Linked DNA regions of Caenorhabditis elegans. The protein of the gene in region 1 interacts with the protein of each later gene in a pairwise test. Each region holds a gene or a part of one and is shown on either strand. Other genes may lie near its edges.

Region 1 (8,343 bases):
TTAATATTAAGAAAACAAAGATCCATTTATAATCAAAGCGATGTCTGCCAGAAAAGACACACTTCCCGCTTTTCCAATTATTTTCTTAAAGTTTCAAAGCGGAAACTTACATAACATACAGAAAAATATGTGTGTTTTCTGAAAATAATTTTGTATTCCTATATTTGAATGTTTCAAGATTCTTCTCAAAAACTTACTCAAAGTTGTAATGCTACCATTTCGACTTTGAGGAAATTTTAAGCAATTTTATCGAAATTTTCAAACAAAAGAAATTTAATTTTTTTAAAAGAACAAGTATTTATCTATTTTTCTGTATAATATTTTATTTAAAAGCTTCGACACAACAACGAGAAACGAGGACATTTGCAACACACATAATCGGTGCCTGCCTGTGCGCCTATAGACCTATAGGCGCAGGCCGCCTAAACCTATGCCTGTAGGCATTAACACCACCACATTCGAATCTTCTCCTTCCGCTTGCCATCATTATTTTATCACCAAATCATTTTGTTTATGAATTTCAAAGACATGTTCAGTCAGGTCTTTCAATGAAAGACCTGTTCCAGGTGGGAACTGAACTGCTTTCCCTTTCCGGGTTTTGCAAATTTATTTGCCAAAGAAACACGAAAAACTGATGTTTGGATTTGAATAAGTTCTTTTGTTTAGATCAAATTACAAGTCAACATTTGGAATAATTATGTTTTGAGAATATTTGGGCTGTAACGAAATATAGAAAATTGCAAAAGTTTTAGAATTATATTTATATCTAGTAAGACTTTAGAGTTATCAAAAAGTCTTGAACTAAGAAAATTGGAAACTTTTAAGATGAATATCTTATTAGTTGACGAATCCTGGATAGCATCTGAAATGTCTGACTATGAGATATAAGCTTTTAGGTCAAAAGCTTGCCATGCACAGTTTCAAAAAGTATGGAATTTTTGAGTTTATTTTAGGTATCTATTCTGTGTTCGTAGACTATGTAGAAGTAAAGTACGAGAAAATGCAATGTAAAATTTCAAAAGAGCCAAGATATGGGCGGAGCCTAATTTGGAAAATCAGTGCAGCATTGTCAAAGTTTATGCTATTAAATACTTAAATCAAAAACTTTGAATTTTAATTTAAAATCACCAACTTGAGTCTTGTCACGATCGAAACATTTCAACTAACGAAACAATCAAAGAGGTACGGTAGTTGAAAAATTCCGCGCGTGCCAGGACCCGATAGAAACTGTTCGATCGGTATTACGCAATGTGTGTAAAACGATTCAAAAGAACAGAAAATAATTGTATTACAGAGAACGGAAGAGATAAAAGTTGTATAGACATATGGAAACTAGAAACACGTTTGACACAGTGAATAGATTGAATGAGGCGAGCTGTAGAAGATGGAGAAGCTGTATGAATGCGATGACTTCGCACCTTTTCTGACAGATTTAAGATGAAGATAGTTGTTTTTTTTGCAAGTTAAATGAAACGAACAAGTGAAAACTTTGAATCCAAAAAGTTTCATAAAAAGATATGAAATGAAGAAAAATGTGTAGAAGTAACAAAAGTGAGTGGAAGTATTCAACGAAAAGCGATGGAAACATTTGAATGAAAGGAAGGCCTCCCGGGAAAGAGGGAGAGAAAGAGAGGCTAACCATCCGTCCGGCCTTTCGTCAAACCCGTTTCTCTCTTTCACAGTTTCCCGATCCTTGCTGGTCTCATGCTTCTTCTTCTTCTCCTCCATCTACAGCCATTTCGGTGTTGTTCGCTATTGTAAACGATGTGAGAATTTCTTCGGACTATCAGAGAGAGAGAGATAGAGAGAGAGAGAGGGAGAGAGACCAGCTATCTATAGCATTTGACCTGATAAGAAAGCCGATTCGAATCGACGGTGGAAAGGTTTGATGAACTAAGCTGCCACGGAGGGACGAAGAGATATAAATTGGAAATATTTGGAAATATCAAATGAAATATTTCGTAATTGGATGTGAAACTGTCTGTCTGTATTTAGGGATTTACAAGGAATTTTTGTTCTTCTCACTAAACAATCACTATACATAAAGTGGGGAAATAATTTGGAAAAATATGATTTTTAAGAAAAGTCGACACAAAAGTTCACAAAAAGCTTGAAAGTTCATAAAAGCAACATATTTGGTGAATAGTTCTTCAGTTTGATTTTATGTTTTTTTTTTCCAAACATTCCAAATATTTTTTTTTGTTCGTTTTTCCAGTTCTTGAACCTCGTCAGTGCCATTCACGGTGATCTAGATCATATTCTGCGGTGACAAATTGCAATAAAACAAGAAGTTTATTCCCCATTAAATAAACTTCTTTTGTAAAAACCTGAAAATCTGTCTGAAAATAGCTTTTTTAAATATTTTCGTGGTCTAGATTTTTCGTGGTCTACATTTTTTATAACGGTCTCCCTCTCTCGTTCAAACTGCCGCCAACAAAAGAGCGCAATAGAGCATGCTTGCACAGCCGTGGTGAGAGACACCTCTTGTTTAATTGAATGCGCCTTTAAACTGTAATCCAATTTGTGACTCATTTCCCCTTCAATTTTCTCTCCAATTTTCAGCAAAATGGCTTACAAAGATGCCAGACAGGTGAAAATTGCTGAAAAACTTGTGATACTGAATGATCGTGCTGCTGGAATGATGACACGGATATACAATATTAAGAAATCAAGCGGCGGTGAGTAGTCTTTGAAAATTTCTGTTGTTATAAAATGCTGAAGATTTCAGATTCAAAAGTGAAACCACAATTTCTTAGCGACAAGAAGATGGAAGGTGCAATCAAACATATAGTTAGAAAGTTTCCTGTTGTTGATTGCAGATCGAATTCAGTGAGTAGTTCAAATTGTTGATTTCTCATGCCGAAATTAATTTCAGTCGACGTTCGAATATGTACAAGAAAAGTCCACGGAAATTACAAAATCTTTATCGCTATATTACTACACATTTGCTGATATTCTTGATTTAAAAGATCACATTATGCAAGTTTTGACAACTATGGAATCATGTCAATGTCAGCTGGATGTGGTGAGTATATTATTGATTTTAAATATTTATATCGTTCGTATAATGTTTAAGCTAAAATTTTATTTTTTAGACGCTCAATTACGACCTGACAACGAGTTATTTGAATCTTGTTGTACATCTCGTCACAATGATGATTCTTTTATCAAGAATTGAAGACCGGAAAGCTGTTCTTGGACTTTTTAATGCGGCATATGATCTACAACACGGACAAAGTGAAGCATCATTTCCAAGATTAGGACAAATGATTCTTGATTATGAAAATCCGTTAAAAAAGCTTCATGAAGATCTCGGACCACTGAACAGGCTAATTTATTCAGCTCTTTCTTCTGTTACACACACATATCAGCGCAGAAACAAGACAGCAGATTCATGGAGAACATCAAATGTTTTCTCGTTGACCGCTGCTCCAGCACAAATTTTATATGCTGCTCAAACAGAAACTGTGAGCAAGTTTTTATTTAATGGAAAATTATTTATGTAAATCGTTTCAGATTGCATGCGAATATCTATCACTCGACGTCATTGATCGATGGATTGTGTGTAAGTTAATATACAAATTAGTATTAAAATGTTTATTAAAATTGTAATATTTTCAGTCTGCGGAACAGTATGCCATTCAACTCTTCTTAACGATGACAACATTAGGCACATGTGGCAGCTGGCACTTCAAATGAATCTGTGTCTTCGCGTTTTCCGAGACGAAACATTTATTGTTCATCAAGAGATTCAAGCGTTTTTAGAATCTTCCAAAGAAAAAAGCAAACGGTTACAAGATGTTAAAGATGCGTTCAATCATGCATCTGTTACTGCGTAAGTTAAAAAATATGATAAACAAAGCGTTTTCTAATAATTTGTATTTCAGAGTTGCCGTCCACGCAGACCGTCGCCGCTTCCTTAGAAGTTCTCTTCGAGAGCTGTCACTTTTACTACGAGATCAGCCCGGACTACTTGGCCCGAAAATTCTCTATGTCTGGATGGCTCTTGGAGCAGGAAGAGATGAGGTCATATGGCTTCTACGGCATCAAGTTGAAGTTCCTGCTATCAGCAAAAAAGGCAGCAGAATGGTCGAGGAGCTTGTTGACAGGCAACTTCCAGAACTGCTATTTTATATGCTGGAATTAAGAGATCTCGTTACGAAATATTATGCAGTGATTCAAAGATACTATCTACAGGTTTTGTTAAAACTTTAAATTTATCTATTTTAAATCTTTTTTATTTTCAGTACGTGTCTAGCTATGATTCAATTGTTGTTTCTGAAGAGATTAACCAAGCAAATGGCCTCACCCAGGAAGAAGCGGTTCTTTTGACCGATTTTGCCAACGAAATAGGAAATATCAACTCTGATACGGATCTTCGTGCTCTTCGACTAGACTGGTTTAGATTTCAAGCTTGGACATCTGCTGCTCGGAGCCATTTCCAACTTTCAAGACATAAAAAACTCGCAATATACATGAATACTTCAGTTTTTCATCTGAAAATGATCGATTTGCAAGACGAGATGCTAAGGGAAACAAGTGATTTATCATTATACTGCTTCTATCCAAAACTCGCTGAAAAACATTGGCTCAACTGTCTCCAGCTACCTGCTCAAGCTCGATATGTGCTCAGTTTTGCACGTCTTGCCGCGCATTTCACAAGCGCCCTCCATGACATGTGTCCTGAAGAAAAAGCATTTATCACTGAAAAAGCCTTGGCTCAATGCAATTCTGTAATTGAAGAGACGTGCAAACAATTGTCATATATCCTGGAAAAAGTGGCTGAACATGAATTCGGATTAGCTTATCAAATGACACCGAGCGCCGTGGCTGTAAGAGTTGTTGCTCAAGTTGTTCAACAGAAAGGATCTGGAAAAGCTGCAGCGGCGGCCGCAGCAGCCGCTCGAGATTATTTCATTGCTGGAGAAGAAAGTTATCGAGTTGATCGTCAAGCATTAACAATGCCTGATAAGTTGCAAACAACTCTTCGTAAGTTTTAAAACGTTTTTTAAATTAGATTTTATATCACAAATTTCCCACTTTTCAGTTGAAATCTCTGCAGCTCTCGGAGCTCATCGTCAAATTTACGTTGCTGATCACACATTTGCACCGAGGACGTACCTAGCGCAGTCCCTTGAAACTAAATTTGTAGAATTGCTTCATGGAATGTTCTGGGAAGGTCAACCACATGCAAGTAATCCAAAAAGACCAAGTGAAATGCTCCTTGCGCTACAAGCCTACATGACGGTTCTTCAAAATCTTGATACAGCAAGTAAGTGGTTTTTAAAATAATCTATAAATATTCTCATAAATGGAATTTCAGTTTCTGTGGATATCAGTAATACAATGCAAACAACTCTTCTACAACAAACTCAACTCGTTGATTCCAAGAATAAAGACACAATCGCAGCACTCTACACGAAATGGTATCTCGAAGTTTTGCTCCGTCGTGCTTCATCTGGTCATATGGTTTGGAGTGAGCATCTACGAACAATGTTATCATCAGGACAGGAACAACTCTCGTTCATGCCCGATCATTATTCAGATCCTCAAGAATTGAGAGCATTGGTTCAAATTATCGGACCTTATGGAGTAAAGTTGATGACTGAACGGCTGATTTGGCACGTGGCCAGTCAAATTATGGAGATGAGCAAGATTGTTGCAACATACAAAGATGCTCTACAGATTGCTAGATCTAATTTCGATAATGCTGAAAAGATGAAGGATGTTTTAAATCTTTTGAGCGTCGAACCAAAGGACAAGAAAACTCCGAACGCAACATGCGCAGCTGATGCAATTCTGCAAAGAACTATTATTATCGGACAGATTTGTCTGTTTCGTGATGCTCTCCACGATGCTCTTCGTCATATCGTCGAATCTAAATTGCCATTTCTTCAAGCATCATTTGATATGCTTTATCACAATTTGGACGATGTTGATAAAGTTAAAATTGGAGAAATGTCAGCTGCGATGGGAGTCACAGGACCAGTTGATATGTCGTTGGTGAATGCGGTTCGTGCTCAAAATCCGAATATTCACCCTCAAGAACACTATGTTAATAGTTGTCTATTGATGGTTGCCGTCGCTATCTGTATTCCACGAATTGGAATGTCGGATCTTTCGTCTTACAAGCCTAGCATTCAAGGTACATACTTTTACAGCTTTTTGCAAAAATTAAAAATAAACAATTTCAGCCAGCTTGAACAATAGTCACTGTGTTCCAATGGCGATTAACACTATCGGATCAGCTCTTTTCCATCTCCACGAGCAAAATGATATCCAGTCGAGGATGAAGGAGTTCTTGGCGGTTAGCTCTATCATTATTAACACATATTCTCACCTAGAAAAATTTTCAGCTCGCGTCCTCGGGTATTCTACGAACTATTCATGAACGTGATAACAGTCGACAAATATCCGACGACGTTCTTCGTTCCCACACAACTCTCTACATTATCCTTGAACAGATGGTTCGGAAAAACCGTTGGCTGTCGATGGATGTTCTTGAAACCTGTTTCCCATATAATCTCGTCCGTACAGCCTACCAACAATGCTACGAGGCTGATGCTCAATAATTTTATCTGCGATCCCAATATGTACAGCTACGATCCCTTCTCACATACTTCCTGTGCCTGTATTTTATTTATTTTATTTTTCTTTCTTCAACGAACCATTACTATACGGGTTCCCGCTTCCGAATACCGCCTTTTTGACTATTATTCCCTGCATTTTCGTGTGAATCATTGCTCCCAAGTACTCATTTTGCCTTCCATTTGGCTTTAATTTATTGCAGTTTGTCGTCATAATAAACTTTTTATCAATTTATCAAAAATTTTTATTTTATCTATTACATAAATGCGATTAAATTTTAAGTTAAAAAAACGAGAATTAGCTAAATTAGATATGCTTGGTAATTTGAATTTGAATTCGCGCGTAAAAGTGATGGATGGGTCTCGCCACGACCGGCATGCAATTTTGAATTTTTTCACATTTTGAGGTCCAATGAGGTCGAAATTTTTAGACATTTTTAGTAAAAAAAAATTATTTATGTTTTTGCAGTCTCTTCAGTATGTTTCCTGAATTGCAGACACTCCAGTGGCCGATCATAAAGTATAAGCAATTGAGAGGAAGCGGTAATCGACAAGAGGTTTTAAAAATAGATGAATTCTGTATCGAAAAGTTAAATTTGCAGGGCAAAGATATTCGCGTTGTTATGGAGGTGAATAGCAGGAAGCTGACGGTTATTCATGGAGTCGAGCCGATCGAGACCGTTTATTGTAACATGGAAGTTTCTAGGTATCCGAGTTTGAAGTGAGTCTTTGTTGTTTGAGAAATTAAAGTCAAATTGCCCGGTTTTCAGAATGAAGAACACAAATTTGTTCGTGATTGTAAACAACCAGGCTCAAGGTTTCCGATTAACTCTTCGTGGCGAAGATCGGGAGAATTTTCTGTCAACTGTCAGAAAATTTGCTTATATTTCGGAGACTCCAGTTAAGGATCATTTGAATCGCTCATCCACAAATACCGGTATTCTTTATTCTTTTAATAGTTTCAAGTTTCATTTTTGAATTATAGATGTGTGGTACAACAGTGTCGAGAAACGGAAGGGAGGATCGTCATCACAGCCGACATCCTTCTCCCAACCATGCGATATTGATATTGGTGGCTCGGTGAAGAAATCCGCGGCAAGAAACTTATCACATACGTATTCCACCAACATTGGTGAAAGTTCCCGGATGCCAGCACTCACAGCAAATGAATTCTTCTCACAGCCAGTCTACAATCCTTACAATAGGCCAGCGTCGAGTGCCAGCACTGTTAGTTCATCGATTGGCTCGGCTTACAGCGTTCTCCACGATGATTCACCATTTTCTGGATTTTCGCCAAATTCGAACCATTCTTTGCAATTTCCGTGTCCCAGCCCATCGCACAGTTCGTCATTTTCCGGATTTTCGCAGGTAAATTGAAAATTAACTGGAATATCCCACCCTATTAAATTAATTTTCAGAGTTCATCACACTCTTCTCAATTGTCCTCCAGTCCCGCAAACGCACCTTCATTTCCGGATTTTCACAGCCCACCCTCTGCCAATGATATCCAGATAGATCAACTCAATCCGGTGACTGTGGCTCCTCAAATCAAGCAAACTGCGGACAAATGCGTTCAAACAGATAAACAATATGTTGATGAACGTTTCGACGATCCTGCTTTCCTGAGGAGATACATAAAGAGAGTTATGAGTGATTCAAAAATGGCGAGATTGGTTGGAATGATGCGATCTGAAATTCGAAAACTTCCAAATGACGAATTTGATGCATTTTACAAAGTAAGTTTCATTTGTTAAAT
Region 2 (8,173 bases), on another chromosome or scaffold:
CACAAGTTTTACAGAACGAGTCAATTTGAATTCCAAAGTGAGAAATTTCATTTTCCCAAAAAACCTAACTAGTTTTAATTTTCAGAGATCCCGATAATCTCAATACTTATGCCAACCAAAAAAAAACCGCACTCTTTCCATAATCTTGCCACGTCATTAAATCGTTCCCAATTGTGTTACCTATAACTTATTGATTTGTGGTGAATAAAAAACAAGTATCTCTCTGATAAAACAACCGATCCAATGCGCAGATAAAAAGGTGAAGGTCTCTCATCTGCGTCTCTCAGGCTTCGGACTGCGCGGCAACAAAACCTGAAGAGGAGATGTGGCGGTAGCCACCGAGAACGGAATAAACTAGATGAGTGGAAGGAGACACTTGCAAGACGGTCGTTGCTTCCTTCTTTTCCTTCCACGTGTAGTGCTTTTGAATTCAAAAGTTTTGATTTTTCTTTTCTTGTAACTTATTCCGCCTATTTACAACAATTAAGTAACCATTTCAGTGACTAAACCGAACCAGCACAAAAATGCTGAAATCAATTATTGCCTCAGCATTATTTGCCATCTGTTGGGCAGCAAATGACCGTTCATGGACCACTGATGAAGGTGTCAAGATTGAAATTATCAAGAAAATTGGAGACTCAAAATGCAAAATCAAATCCGAGTCTGGAGATCAATTGGAGCAATTTTACAAGCTTTCCGACAAGGAAGGTAAGGTGATTGGAAGCAACTTTGGCCAAAAGCCGTACACTTTCACTCTTGGAAAAGGCGAGGTGATTCATGGAATGGAAATTGCAATGGAGGGAATGTGTGTCGGCGAACAGCGAAAAGTGATCATTCCACCAGAGCAAGGATTCGACGAAGATGGAGATGAAGTAGAAGGAGTAAGTTGATTTATATTTTTTAAAATCTATTTTTAAATTGCAAAACAAATAAAATGGTAATTTGTACTATTCTAGAAAGGAGAAACTCTATACTACTTCGTCGAGCTGAAATCAATCTTCCGTCCAAAACCCGGAGCCAAGTGGATCACTGATGAAGGAGTTCACATTCACATTACTCACGAGGTAGAGGGATGCACCGAAAAGGCTCAAGCCGGAGATACACTTCATCAACAGTACACACTAAATCTCGAGGATGGATCTTTCATCGATTCGAGCTGGAGCCGCAATCGTCCATTTATCTTCAAAATGGGCTCCGGACAAGTTATCAAGGGAATGGACATTGCCATGGAAGGAATGTGTCAGGGAGAGAAGAGAAAAGTTGTTATTCCACCAGAGCTCGCTTATGGAGAAAATGGAAGACCTCCAGCAATTCCAGGAAACTCGTACCTTCACTTCGATCTCTCACTTGAGAAACTTGTCAGACCAGGAAAAGAGGAACTCTAGATTAACTGAAAATCCCAACTTTCATGAATTTCTAACTTATTTTTAATAGAACAATAAATTTGTATTAAAATGAATAAAAGAAAAAGTACACAATTGTGATCCACTGAACACAAGAAATGAATATAAAATATCTAAAAAGAATAAGTAATTTTAAAACAGTTCATTACGAAAAAAGGAATTGTATAAAAAGCAAAAACTATACATCAGGTATTTATAAAATTAAAACACACTACTTATAAAATAGTACTAGATGAGATCTTTGCGATCGATTAGAGGAATTGAACAAGGTGAGTCCTGAAAGAGCATTTTAGCCGTAAAATGAACGTGGGTTTCCTCGTCCTTGATTCGGAGGCCCAGCGTATCCAAATGGTGGCTGAGACGGTGGGAACATTCGAGATTGTTGTGGAGGTTGCGGCGGGGAAAAATCACGTGGTTGTGGTGGATAGAAGCCGTTTCCAGGAGCATTATTAAAGAACGGAGATTGTTGAGGTGGCATAGGACGCGGAGGCATCGGACGTGGTCCACTCATCGCAAAATTGTCCTGTATAGGAACTTTTCCGAATGGAGTATCTTGAGCTCGATGCCATGGTAGGTCGGAGAAGCTGCTAAAATTGAAATTGGATATTAAAACTGAATAACTTATGGTTTGGAATTCATCTGATGGGTATTTTGCCCTAAATGACAGAGAACATTCTCACTGCATCGAATATAAATAACTGTTAAAAAATTTGTACATTTTTAATGATTTCTCCAATTTTGAAAAAAATAAGAAGGGATGAATTATTTCTGAATTACATGAGTGGCATAATTTTCGACATTTTTGCGTTTTTCGGCCATACTGATTGGTTTTTCTTCATTTTTTAAATTTTATAATATAAATTTTATAAAAACATAATTTATCAATTTTTAGACATTTTTCCGCACAAAAGTGTTTCAAATATAAATTATCGAATTTCAGGCTAATTTTAAAGTTTCAGCGAATTTATTTCGAATTTTCACGTTTTCTTTACGGAAAAATGTTTGACAACTGACAAATAAAGTTTCATATTATAAAAAATCAGTATCGCCTGAAAACGCGAAAATGACGTCACTCATTTGCGAAGAGAATTCAAAAAAATGGTTCAGCACTTTAAATTTTTTACAAAATTGATAAAATCATTTTTAAAAATTTAGAAAAGTTGAATCTTTTAAAGTATTGCTCGATTTTTTATTTTTTTTTCTGCGATATTTCTGAACTTTAGAATATTTTTAGAATTTTAAAGACTTTTCAAATTATGAAATAAATTGGTTTTTGTAATTAAAAAACGTACTTATTTGAACGTGAACCACTTGGCCCAGACGGAGAATCGCTCCAAGGCCTGTCCATACCCAAATCCATTTGGAAACCTCGATTCTGATTCGATTGTATTCCATATTGTTGCTGAGGTTGTTGACGCCATGGCGACTGATTTGATGGAGGTGGTGATGGTTGTCGGGATCTTTGCCAGGGAGGAGCTTGTGAATTACCAGTACGATTGACGGGTCTCATATTTGGTTTCTTATTTGGAGAGCCATTGAACTTATTCTGCTTCTGAGCTGGAGTATTTGGCTTATTCGGATTTTGAGCCGGCGATGCTTTGACAGTGGGAGTCGTTGATTCTGCTGGCTTTATCTTTTTCATCATCTCTTCTTTTTCTTTTTCCTTCACACTGTCATCTAGTTTTTCCATTCCCAATCCTGGTATTTCACCGGACTCGTCACTTTTCTGAGACAATCCGAGAGCTGGAGCAAATTCGGCTTGTGGAGGTTTTTCACTAAGTTTCGGAATCTTTTTCAAATTAGTGAACCTGCCGACACTTGTACTGGCGGGGCCTGGGGTAGACGATGACGAAGGTGTAGAAGCGGCAGACACCATTTTGTTTGGCGGAACAGAATTTGACGTTTTTGCTTTTTTGGGTGGAGTCGCAGTAACACCGGACGGAGCAGGATTTGGCTCTGAAATAAATAAATAAATAATTTTCCAGTTAATAAATCTGAAAAAAACTTACTTTTCTGTACCTCTGCGGCTTCCTCTACGACGCGTTTTCTTGTACTCATTACTCGGTTCATCTCTTCCAAATAAGATTTCGAGTACGACGGAGTGCTTCCACCGCCACTAAAATTATCAGCTTGAACTTTAGAAAGAGCTTCAAATAGAGAATTAGAAGCAGCTGCTGAAGTGGATTTTGCCAGTTTTTCCCACGGATTCGGTTGAGAAGAAGGTGCAACCTTCGGCCTCTCTGATTCAGCATTCGGCGGTTTCAATGGAACTCCAAAAGCAGAAACCGATTTTGGAATGGAAGGCGCCGGAGCATTCAATTTTTCTTTCGGAATCCATGATTCAAAACCGGACGCGATTTGTGGCGGCGCCTTCTTTTCAACAATTTGTTGTATCAACGGCTTGGCGACAGCTTTCGGTGCAGGATTTAGTGTAGCTTGAGGAGATGAATGAGGTGGAGTGTCAACTATCTCCCCATCTTCCGGAGGAGAAACCCTTTCAGGATCATTCGGTGTACACGCCACGCTTCTCGGTGTTGTTATACTTTTAGGCGTTGCAGCGATTTCAGCGATTTTGTCCAGCAGCTCTTTATCCTTTTCTGAAAATTAAATATTTTGAAATTTAAATAATTAGAAAAATAATAACCTTTCAAAGTATGAGTCAATTTTATGACATCTTTCTTGTAGCGTTCCGCATATGCTTTCCAAGAATCACGTTCGTATTTTATCGAATCACAATCTTTACCCAATTTCTGTGCAGCAGACTCGAATAACGCGGCTCTCTCCACCGCATCATTCCTTTCCTGATTTGCCCGTGCACATTTTTCAGTCATTTCAGCCACTTCCATCGTCATTTTTTTGCGTATCTTCTCGACAGTTTTGCAGCGAGTACACGTCTCGTTATCCGCCAGAAAAAGTCGATCATTCAAGTTCTTCACAGCAGTTTCCGCCTGTTCGATGGCTTTATTTTGTTCTTTTTTGCATACATCTCTTGCTCGCAGATAGAATTCAGCTCGATCCTTCTCATATGTTAGTTCTTGTTGGAGGAACTCAACTTTTGCCAGCAGAGCGCTGTACTCCAATTTCTGATCTTCTGCGTTTTTTTGCATCTGTTGCTTATAAGCTTCATATGTCCTTGTCTGGCTTTTTATTACTGCTACAACCTCGGCTTCATGAGCTTTGAATTCTTCTTTTCTCTCAACCAAATCAGCACGAATATTTCGGAAACTGTCGGAAAATTCGAGTCGAGTAGACCTTCCGAAGTCTTTCAACGTTTTCACTGCCAACAGACTTTTCTCCTCGTTCTCTTCATATTTTAAAATTCGCTTCTCCTGCTCGCTAATCGTTCTAATCATAAGTAGAAACTTTTTCTTCAAAACCATTGGCATATCATTTAACCGAGCAGCAACCGGCTCTCCAAGGGCATCTCTGACAGTTGTATTGAAGCATTCCTTGAGATATGTTGATTTCAATAAGAGATCCGTATCGGTTTGGCAGCAAGTTTCCGCAGTTTTGGACACATGTGACGTTATAGGAGAACTTTTGAAAAATTCAGAAGTATGTGTTGGCTTTGTTGATACACTCGAAATCGTCGCAGCTCTTGGTGAGATTTTTATGGGTCGACCTCTCTTTTTGTCGATTGGTGTGACAGTTGGCGTATTTCTTAATTTAGTTTCTCTCGGACCTGAAAATAAAATATTTGGCAACAATATTCGAAAACTCGTACTTACGAGCATTTTCTTGGTCCTTTTTACTGATTTTCTCGGAACTCGTGGACTGAACTTGAGAGACTTTGGCTTTGCTCTTCTTCCGAGTTCCCCAATTGTTTTTCTTTGATTTTCCACCAAACGCATTTTTGGGTTTCTTTTTTGGGATGGTGGTTTTTTGTTCAGGTGTTTCCTCATCACCATCATCCTCATCGATGCCTTCATCATCTTCTTTAGCAATTTCTTCGTCCTTCTCATCCGAATTCCCATTAGTCGACGTGTCAGAATTGGAAACTCCCGAACCTTTTTCAGGTACTTGACATACACTATTTGAGCGTGAAGCGGATCTGGCTCTTTTCTGAGAACGAAGGAATTCAAGTCTTTCACTATTGGACAATATTCTTCCATCTGAAATTGTAATTTTAAATTTTCTATAAAAGTATCGTGTCTCTACCTTCATTCACAAACGAAAATACTCCTCTGACTTTCTTGGAGGACATTCCAAAAAAAGTTTTGCAATTACTGCAATAGCTTTTGAAGATATCCTCTGTTTTGCCGCCACTCGCTGGCTGAAATTTTTCCAATTTGTTTTAGCTTATCCTGTACAACCAACCTGGCGCTGCTTGAAAAACGATAGCGTAGCCAATACTGAACACGTATCGCATTTTACAGGATCAGTGGGCTTTAGTACTGACAACGAAGAAGTAGTCGAATCATTCGAGCTTTCATCAATTGGCGAATCATTATTCTCCGATGATGTTCCCTCGATTGGCTGAACAAGATTATAATGAAATTGAACGCAACAAAATAAAAAATTACGTCAATCTGATCAGTCGGATGCGCAGAAGGCAAGTATACGCTATGGTCCTCTGCTTCAGTTGTTGCGCCGTTCATTACCTGCCACTTATTTGTTTAAAAAAACAGGTAAAATAGACGCAAATTGAAACAAGATTTAACTTTCAGAATTATATAAAACACAAAAACAGTTAAAACATAAGAAAAGCCAGCAGAAGCAGTGTAAATTCCGCACAGAAAAATTAATCGACAAACCAGTGGGCGGAGCGTGAAGCAGGAGTCGCAACCCCCGCGCACTTTTTATGCAATGCTGCCGCACGAATTCCTCTCTCAGTTTTTGTTCCCTTTTTCTTCATTTTTAATCAATTTCTTCTGATTTTTTTTGTATATAACTTTATTTTATTTTGTATAAAACATTAAATATTAATTAAAAATAATTTAAGATGAGCAACGTTGACAAAAAAGCTAAACCTCGTGGAGAATACGAGCCCGAATGGGCTGGTGAACCGGAGGAAGAGAAGAAGACGCGGAAAGAGACTGCAAAAATGTTCGGACCACAGAAAGATGCAGAGTGGTGGGATATTAACACTTTCAGCAAGGTATGTTTTTGATATTGTATTCTAAATAAATATATTTCGATTTTTGAAGTTACCTGCTAAATTTACTTAAAACTAATTTTAAAATCTCCAAAACACTAAATATTTTCTGAAAAATTAAATGTTAAGCAATGAAAAAAGTTGGTTCCATGTAATTTTTCTCTTGTAGTATGAACCTGAAGAAAATGAATACATTTTTCAGGAAGACAATCCGAATGGTCTACTCCAAGAGTCATCATTTTCTTCATTATTCCCCAAATATCGCGAAAAGTATATTAAAGAAAGTTGGCCACTCATCGAAAAAGCTCTAGGAGAGCATTTCCTGAAAGCAGATTTGGATCTCCTCGAGGGAACAATGTGTGTCCGAACTACTCGTAAAACTTGGGATCCTTATATAATCATGAAGGCTCGCGAGGTCATCAAGCTTCTATCCCGTAGTGTGCCTTATGAACAAGCGATTCGTGTTCTCGAAGATGAAATCTATTGCGAGATTATCAAAATCTCTTCAATGGTTCGCAATAAAGAACGATTTGTGAAGCGTAGAGCTCGGCTAATTGGAAACGATGGTGCTACCTTGAAAGCTCTCGAATTGCTGACACAGTGCTATGTTTGTGTTCAAGGAGGAACTGTTTGTGCTGTTGGACCGCTTGCTGGACTGAAACAAATCAAGTGAGTTGAAAATATATTCTGACTCTCTTTGAAATCATAAAAAATTTCAGTCAAATCGTCACTGATTGTATGAAAAATATTCACCCAATCTACAATATTAAAACTATGATGATCAAAAGGGAATTATCTAAAAATGATGAATTGAAAGATGCAAACTGGGATGCTTATCTTCCAAACTACCGAAAGAAGGTTCAATCTGCAACTACAACAAAGGAAGCAAAGAAGAAGAAGGCTTACAAGATGAAGCCCAAGAAGGAGTTCACTCCGTTCCCACCGGCTCCAGTTATGAGCAAGATTGACAAGCAGATTGAAAGCGGAGAATATTTTATTCGCGAGAACGAAAGAAAGATGAACAAAAAGAGGTAAGTATTCTTAATTCAAAAATCGTAACGGAATTTAATAAATTTATGAAATTTTCAGAGCGAAATTGGAAGCATCGGCGGTGAAGACTGTGGAAAAACAGAAGCAAAAGTTGAAAGTGTATCAAGCAAAAGAGGAAGCTCCGCGAGAAAAACAGAACAAGAAGCGACCGAACGACGCGCCGATCGATTTGGAAAAGCTGAAAAAGAAGGCAAAGCTCAGTAAAGCCGCCAAGTAAATTTTATGATTTCACTGTTTCGTTTCTTTGTTATCAATGTTGTTGTTTTGTTGGAAATTGAAGTTTAAATTAAACCAAATTTTATTTGTTATTCATTTTATGAGAAACTTAATATTAAAAAAAAAGATTATTTGACTCTTACATAGAGCACGTTTTTAGTGGAATTAGACAAGATCATCATAATCAGTGAGTTTTTAGCCGTGGCGGCAACCAGTTTTTCAAGAATCCGATTCAGTGCCTCCGCGTTGTCAGGAACTTCTCCTTGCTCTGAATCAGTTTCTTCCAATGGTTCTATTTTTTCTTTGTCAATCTCCACGAGGATTACACTGTCATTGAGCATTTCAGAAGCTACACTGTTGACGAATCCATTATAGGAGGGAAAAGAGGAATGAAGTTTTGAGCGGACCC
Region 3 (6,393 bases), on another chromosome or scaffold:
AAAATTGAGTAACAATTTTATAACTTGAAAAAAAAGGTTTTCATTAAAAACTCACATTTAACATTTTTCCAGTTCAGTATTTTTCCCAAGTTTTACGAATGCAATTTTCTCTAGTGAAAATCAGATTCTGCTCAAGAAAAAAGACGCAGAGGGCAGCTATACTTGCAGCATAATTTTTGTTTTCTCAAAATCATATTAACTAGGAAAACACTCGCAAAAAAATTATGTTCGTTATATTTTCAAGAACTCTAATTCTACTTCGATGCATACGACATTTGTATTCTTGGAATACATTTGTGCATATATTTTTTTGTTGTTTTCTGACTTTATCAAATCACTGATTATGTACAAAAATTTCAAACAGAATGCACAACATTTTCTAGAAAGGACCGCTAGCTTTTTCATAGAAAATACATAAACTTTATGCGTAATTATTAATTACCTCTAAAATTATTAATTAATATCATAACCCCATCATCTACAATTCTCCTAACTCTGCACTACACTCTTCTTTAACTCCGAGTTTGTTTCCCACCGGATTCAGAATTTCACTGGACTTCACGCGCTTGCACCCGATGTTTTCTGTTTTTCCACTTTTCTGCCAGCAATGCAATTGATGATGCTGAAAAAGAAAAAGTTGATTATCGGAAGAGGAGAGAGGAAAATGGAAAGAGAGAGAGAGGTGTTAGATGAAAATCGGATGGATTCATTCTTGTCGTTCTCATTCATTTTTGGCACTTTCATCTGCATCAATCCGTATGAGTGTGAGCAAAAAATGAGAGACATCCGATCATCTTCTCCTCATTTTCATATCTTTTTTGCAGCTTCTCATCTTTTGCTCATTTCCGTGTCTATTTGATGTTTTAGTTTTCACGTTCCTATTAATATTATGTTATTCTGCCTGAGAAGCCGGGTTTTTTTATGCAGCTGTTGCCCTTTTAGATGTCACTAAATATCCTAAATTATATATATTGTTGAATATAAATACGGATTTATCTTTCTTACTGGAAATGAAAAATACGATAGTTCAATAAAAGATAGTCTTTTAATTTTTCCTTCTTTGTTAATCTTTTGCAGTTTTAGTAAAATTCGTAGGTATACATACTATGGGACAAGATTCATATTTATTTTCTCATTTTTCCAAACAACTTTTACCTTCACAATTTTTTTTTAAGTATCAAGTCGAAGTTGATAGACCCTATTTTCCACAATTATAAGTGTACTTATTTTTAAAACAACCAATCTCTAACTTCTATTCATCTTTTAAGAATTGTTATTCGCCAAAAACGATATTGCAGTCACCAGATACGTTTCCTATTATTTAATTTCTGATATTCTTTGAAATTTTATTCGCGTCCATTGCTCTGAATTTCCAGCTTTTTCGCAACAAAACACGTTTTGTTCTGATAATTGCTCATGGGTTTGTTACTAGAAAATAACTAGAAAAAAAATATGAGCGCACGTTTCCATTAATCCAAACTTCCTGGAAGTGTCCGTGCTTACTTTTTCCCCGTTTTTGCCCCGACTGCTAATTAAGTTCACCTGAACTTTTATACTCTCAATCCAATCTCCTATCTATCTCTTTCACTTTCTCGGTTGTTTGTCTTTCTTTCTCATAACATCTGCAATGTTCCTTTTCTTCATTTATTTCACTATTTTCGTGTTCTTATTTTCTTTATTTTCTTCTTTTATTCTGATGATGTTGATGACAATGACGAATATGCAATAAGGAATGTAGTTCGCGTAGCAATAGATGAAGAGAGCAAAGGGGGACATTAGAATCTAGATTTATTTTTTGTCTTCCGCTTTTCAGTCTCATTTTTTGGATCATTGCTCTCACAACTCATTTAAGAAAGTTATGAGAAAATTGATTAGTTGTTAAAATACTAACTAGGCTAATCTGTCATTTTCGAAGTACTCTATTTTCTTTTTTAAATCCAATATTTGCGATACTATGATGTTGCTCACAACTAGATGCTCTAGAAACCAAACATTCAAGTTCTATTTTGCCTTACGCGAAGTAAAACTATTCTTAAAATAAGGTAATTTTCTGAAAAATGGAGTGTTCTCTGTCCAGTGTAGGCCAAAAGAAGTCTAAAACATTTTTTGAAGAGACTTTCGAAAAAAATAGACTTTAAGAACAATTTTGGAAAACTAAAATTTTCATTTAGTTATTTGTCATTTTTCATATTCTCGAAACACTTAATACCAATTAGAATCATGTTAACCTTTAAATGAAAACCAAGCTAATCCTCCTACTTTTGGATTATGTTTTTTATGCTTGACTTCCGTTTATTTTTCGTTTAGTTTATGTTTTTCTATGTTCTGAAAATTTTCTTTTCTCTTATTTATTGATTTTCAGGTTTTATTCCTCTTATCACATAATCACAAGTGGAAGGAGGGAATAGGATATCAGAGGTGTAAAACGACCATTGAATAATCAGAAAATTGCTCTTCCGGTCGAAAGTCGTCTTTGTATTTCATCGGGACGGTGGGAAAGACGACACTAGACTGCGAAGAGATACAAAGAAATCATGGAAAGGTTTGTATAATTTAAAGTTGGAAAATCTTGGGGTAGCTTCAATTGTGTTTATTATTTCAAAAATTTTTTTTTTCAGTCTAAAATTCAGAAATACCAATTTTTCTAAAAACTCCAGAAAGAATTAAATATCCAAGTTTTAAAAAATGTGATTTTTCAAAACGACAAACATTTCCATTCTCGATACTCCAACTTCATTCTTAATTAATTAATACTTAATAAAACTTAATAAATAACCAATTTTTTTCAGCTTCAAAGAGCTCGCCCGTGAATATGATGAGAAGTTCAAAGCCTTTCAAGATGATCTTCAAAAATGGGAAGAAACTTCAGAAAGAAAGTGAGTTTTAAGCAATTTCTCCGAGAAAGTTAGGTTTTAAATTTCATTTTTTACAGAGAATACGCAGAGTTTCATCGTGTTCAAGCAGAATCTGAATTCCCAGAGCTGAAAAGAGAACGGGAGGATCGAGAACGATGGGCTCGTGCTGAACGAATCCGCGGTGAAGATGAGAAGAGTATGCTGGCAAAAGAGCACGCCGACAAGAAAATTCGGCTAGGTGTTGCAAAAATCCCACGACTTCTCACAGAGAGTGAACGAAAAATGGATGAATTTGTGGAACGACCCGGTTCAATTCTGAAAGATATGAAGAAAGAACATCGACAATCAGTGTTGGATCGTCTTGAAGAATGGAGCCCTGAAGAGAGATCATTGTTTAAGAGTCGACAAGCAGATCATGTGAAGATTTTCCATGGACTAACCGAGTTTTTTGTTGATAAAACCGCATCGGATCTTGTGCTTTTTTACTATATGAACAAGAAAACCGAAGACTACAAGAAGGACTTCAAACCTAAGAAACGAGTCACAAAATATAAAGTTGGAGCATTTCCATCGGTTGAAGAGCTTGCATACTTTCGAATGATGCCTCCTTTGGATTTTTCTTCATTTCCCAAAAACTCTCTAATGTGTTATTTTTGCTGTCGTACAGTCAACGGAATCGATCTTAATGGAACATTTATGCCAAAAGAGGCTTATGAAATTTTTGGTAAGTATAATGTTCAAATTTGTATTTCAAAATCTTCAATCTCCCTTTATATCCCCTTTTGAGACGAATTCCACCTTTTCACAGACGTAGAGAAAACGACGCAGAACCCTGCAATTTCTGATTCGTTTTGTTCTAGGCGATGTGAAAATTTGTATCTGAAAAAAATAAAATAGGAATACATTTTTCAACCCTACAATAAAAAATTTGAGAAGTCAGAAGTGTGTATCTATAAATATATATTTCAGCTATCTGTCCTGATGAAGATCGAGTTGTTTGTTCGGGTTGTCGTGAAGAAGCTGCAAAACTATATAAAGACAAGTAAGTTGTAGAAATCTTTGAAACATAATTAGAATTACCATAATTTTCAGTCGGTGCTTTGGTAATCGATGCTCAAATCAGAAGAAACGAGCAAATCGAGTCAATAGGAATATTCCTCTAGATTTCGCCGACTTTCCAGTCAGAACGCGTGCATTCATCATGGATAAACTCGGATCGACACGTGTTGCTGTCAAATTTTGTACTCCATGCAAGAATGCCTTGACTCGGTGGATTAATGATGTGAGTTGTTAAAACGGGGATATCTACTATTCTGAAAAACAACCATATGACATCCGAAAAAGTTATCAACGAGGGGTCTGAATTGTACTGTAAAAACGATTTCCCGATTTCTTGTATCTTTTAACCAATACATCCTTTGTGGATTAGGAAATATGTAGTAGTAAAGAGCAAGATGTAGGGTCGTAAAGTGAGAGCTCATAATCGGAGGAACATGCAATTACTTGGAAAGGGTGAATGCGGTGGTCCTCTTTTTTGATACGACACTCTCTCTCTCATGCACATACATTTATTTTCGGATAATAGGGAGATCATAAAAGTACAGTATCATGTGTGATTCGTGACTGATTTGCATTCGAATAAAAAATAAAACATATTCGTTCACTCTGTTTTATCATTTTTTTACTATCGGGAATTTTTAAAATTATATTTTTCGACAAATTTTCGCGCTTTTCTTCCGGTATCTTTTTTAATTCGATTAAATACGTCAAATTGCAAAAGGAACATCGATTGAAAAAAAAACCTAGAAATTTTTATCAGTTTTCGGTGTATTGAGACTGATATCTAGTACGCTTAAAGTCCACTGAAAACCAATAACAATTATTGTAAGACTAAAATTTTCACTTTGAAATGAAAATTAGCAACTCCACATATTTATTCTGAGGTACAACAGTTTATAAAACGTTAATGATTAAAAAATTTTTAGAAATGTTTTGTTCAAGAATGACAATCTATTACTTTTGGGCCCTCTTCAAACCCAAACATTGTGCTTTGCTCGAGATTGATCTTTCTCATTTATATTCTGACACATTCATCTCTTGAAAGGAGTGTGCTGAGAATAAGCAAGCTTCAGAATTGAACGATCCTACTCTATTAAACCAGGAAGTGTTGTATATTCTATGCACGGCATTCTCAGTGATAAAGGCGATTTTGTTGGTCGAAAATTATATTTGTAAAGTCCCATGAGAGAATGGGCTCTTTTATGGTTGGGAAAGAGAACACGGTACCTGTCACCGTTGATATGAGAAATTAAAATGTGAAAATAAAAATATGAAAAGCAACAAAAACAATAAATATTTTCAGGTGAACAACAAAGAGGAAACAATAATGGCAGAACTCTTGAACTATGAGGGACAAGTTGGTTGGACGGATGATGAAAAGACAAAACTTGTGACATTAATTAACTCATCACCGACACTTGATTGGGTTTCCATTTCGGAAGGAATGAATCGTCGACCGAATGAGTGCAAAATGCAATATGATGCTATGAATGGTGTCAAAACTCAGCCAATGATTGAAGAAGTTGATGAAGAAGATGGAAATGGTCAGGAAGAAGGAGGTGATGCATTGGTGAATACACCTACAACATCAAGCGCTGCTGCCAGAAGAAGTGGATTAGCGAGGAATGCTAAAAAACCGTAAGTTTATATGAAAAGTTGAAAATATAGTAACTTTCTATTACAGAGTGCGAACACCTCGGGCTCCTCGTTCAGCTGGAGGTCGTAGAACAGGCGGAGCTGTTACTCGTGCTCAGGCAGTGCCAAAACCCGTCGAGGATCTTGGAGAGGAAATTGATGAAATGGAGATTGAAGATAATGATGAGGATGCAAGCAGAGGTAGTAGAGGGAAGGATTCCAAGGCACCAAGTGATCGAGATGGGTCTCCAGCTGATATGGAAGGTGATTCACCTGAAGGACAGGATCAAGACGCTGATCAAGACCAAGATCAAGATCAGGATGTAGATGAAGAGGAAGAGGAGGTGATTGTCAGAGACATTGATTCACCTGTAAAGACGTTATTATCACCGAAGATTTTGTCTGGGGGTCACAAACCAGATTTTCCACCAGTACCCCGAATTCAAAAGCCATCGACATCGTCCCAACCTCCACCGCCGGAACCAATGGATACAAAGGAAAATGAGTCTGATGATGGTGAGGAGGACAATGACATTCTCGAGATTGATGTAGACGAGCCACCAGCAAAAAGGCCCACACCAACCTCTTCATCATCCCATCTCATCGGCTCAAGCAGTGTTGGCGGCAGTGAACGAGAGCTCGGTGGGCGTGGTCTTGTCCAACAACAACAGCAGCAGCAGCCACAGGCACAGAGTGCCGCGCCTCCAGTGACCGTCTCTACAGCCGCTGCTGCAACAGCCGAGAGACTCGTCAATGCCACGTCGCCCTCACCCTCTGTCGCCTCTCAGCATCTAGTACCAACTGAAACAAGTACATCTGTTCCGCCGGTCACTATTGTGCCTCC

The links.
Region 2: the proteins of gex-3 (region 1) and gei-6 interact in a two-hybrid assay, tested with the Caenorhabditis elegans proteins (one large-scale study listed by BioGRID).
Region 3: the proteins of gex-3 (region 1) and gei-8 interact in a two-hybrid assay, tested with the Caenorhabditis elegans proteins (one large-scale study listed by BioGRID).

The regions. Positions count from the first base shown.
Region 1 is NC_003282.8:12,401,869-12,410,211, forward strand, and holds gex-3 (Membrane-associated protein gex-3), read left to right. Parts: upstream 1-2,562; 5' UTR 2,563-2,566; coding exon 2,567-2,678; intron 2,679-2,728; coding exon 2,729-2,829; intron 2,830-2,875; coding exon 2,876-3,025; intron 3,026-3,095; coding exon 3,096-3,467; intron 3,468-3,516; coding exon 3,517-3,565; intron 3,566-3,621; coding exon 3,622-3,835; intron 3,836-3,887; coding exon 3,888-4,197; intron 4,198-4,247; coding exon 4,248-4,989; intron 4,990-5,047; coding exon 5,048-5,272; intron 5,273-5,323; coding exon 5,324-6,145; intron 6,146-6,194; coding exon 6,195-6,307; intron 6,308-6,356; coding exon 6,357-6,572; 3' UTR 6,573-6,822; downstream 6,823-8,343. Other genes in the region: dsb-1 (Double-Strand Break factor), read left to right, coding at 7,067-7,144, 7,190-7,308, 7,358-7,524, 7,573-7,955, 8,006-8,323. UniProt on the Caenorhabditis elegans protein: Rac effector required for tissue morphogenesis, cell migrations and egg laying. May play a role in egg laying and in yolk protein clatherin-mediated endocytosis by oocytes during oogenesis.
Region 2 is NC_003283.11:7,224,845-7,233,017, forward strand, and holds gei-6 (GEX Interacting protein), read right to left. Parts: upstream 6,005-8,173; 5' UTR 6,002-6,004; coding exon 5,927-6,001; intron 5,880-5,926; coding exon 5,721-5,879; intron 5,677-5,720; coding exon 5,562-5,676; intron 5,516-5,561; coding exon 5,132-5,515; intron 5,086-5,131; coding exon 4,048-5,085; intron 4,001-4,047; coding exon 3,413-4,000; intron 3,360-3,412; coding exon 2,696-3,359; intron 1,991-2,695; coding exon 1,693-1,990; 3' UTR 1,532-1,692; downstream 1-1,531. Other genes in the region: C13F10.1 (50S ribosomal protein L6), read left to right, coding at 1-37, 86-97; fkb-3 (peptidylprolyl isomerase), read left to right, coding at 525-881, 957-1,385; krr-1 (KRR1 small subunit processome component), read left to right, coding at 6,346-6,501, 6,701-7,167, 7,218-7,529, 7,588-7,765; C05C8.5 (Exonuclease domain-containing protein), read right to left, coding at 7,893-8,172.
Region 3 is NC_003281.10:8,117,202-8,123,594, reverse strand, and holds the start of gei-8 (Nuclear receptor corepressor 1), read left to right. Parts: upstream 1-2,362; 5' UTR 2,363-2,534; coding exon 2,535-2,542; intron 2,543-2,789; coding exon 2,790-2,876; intron 2,877-2,932; coding exon 2,933-3,579; intron 3,580-3,824; coding exon 3,825-3,897; intron 3,898-3,947; coding exon 3,948-4,137; intron 4,138-5,217; coding exon 5,218-5,552; intron 5,553-5,598; coding exon 5,599-6,393. UniProt on the Caenorhabditis elegans protein: Mediates transcriptional repression by certain nuclear receptors. Plays a role in development and neuronal function. May play a role in muscle-specific oxidative mitochondrial metabolism.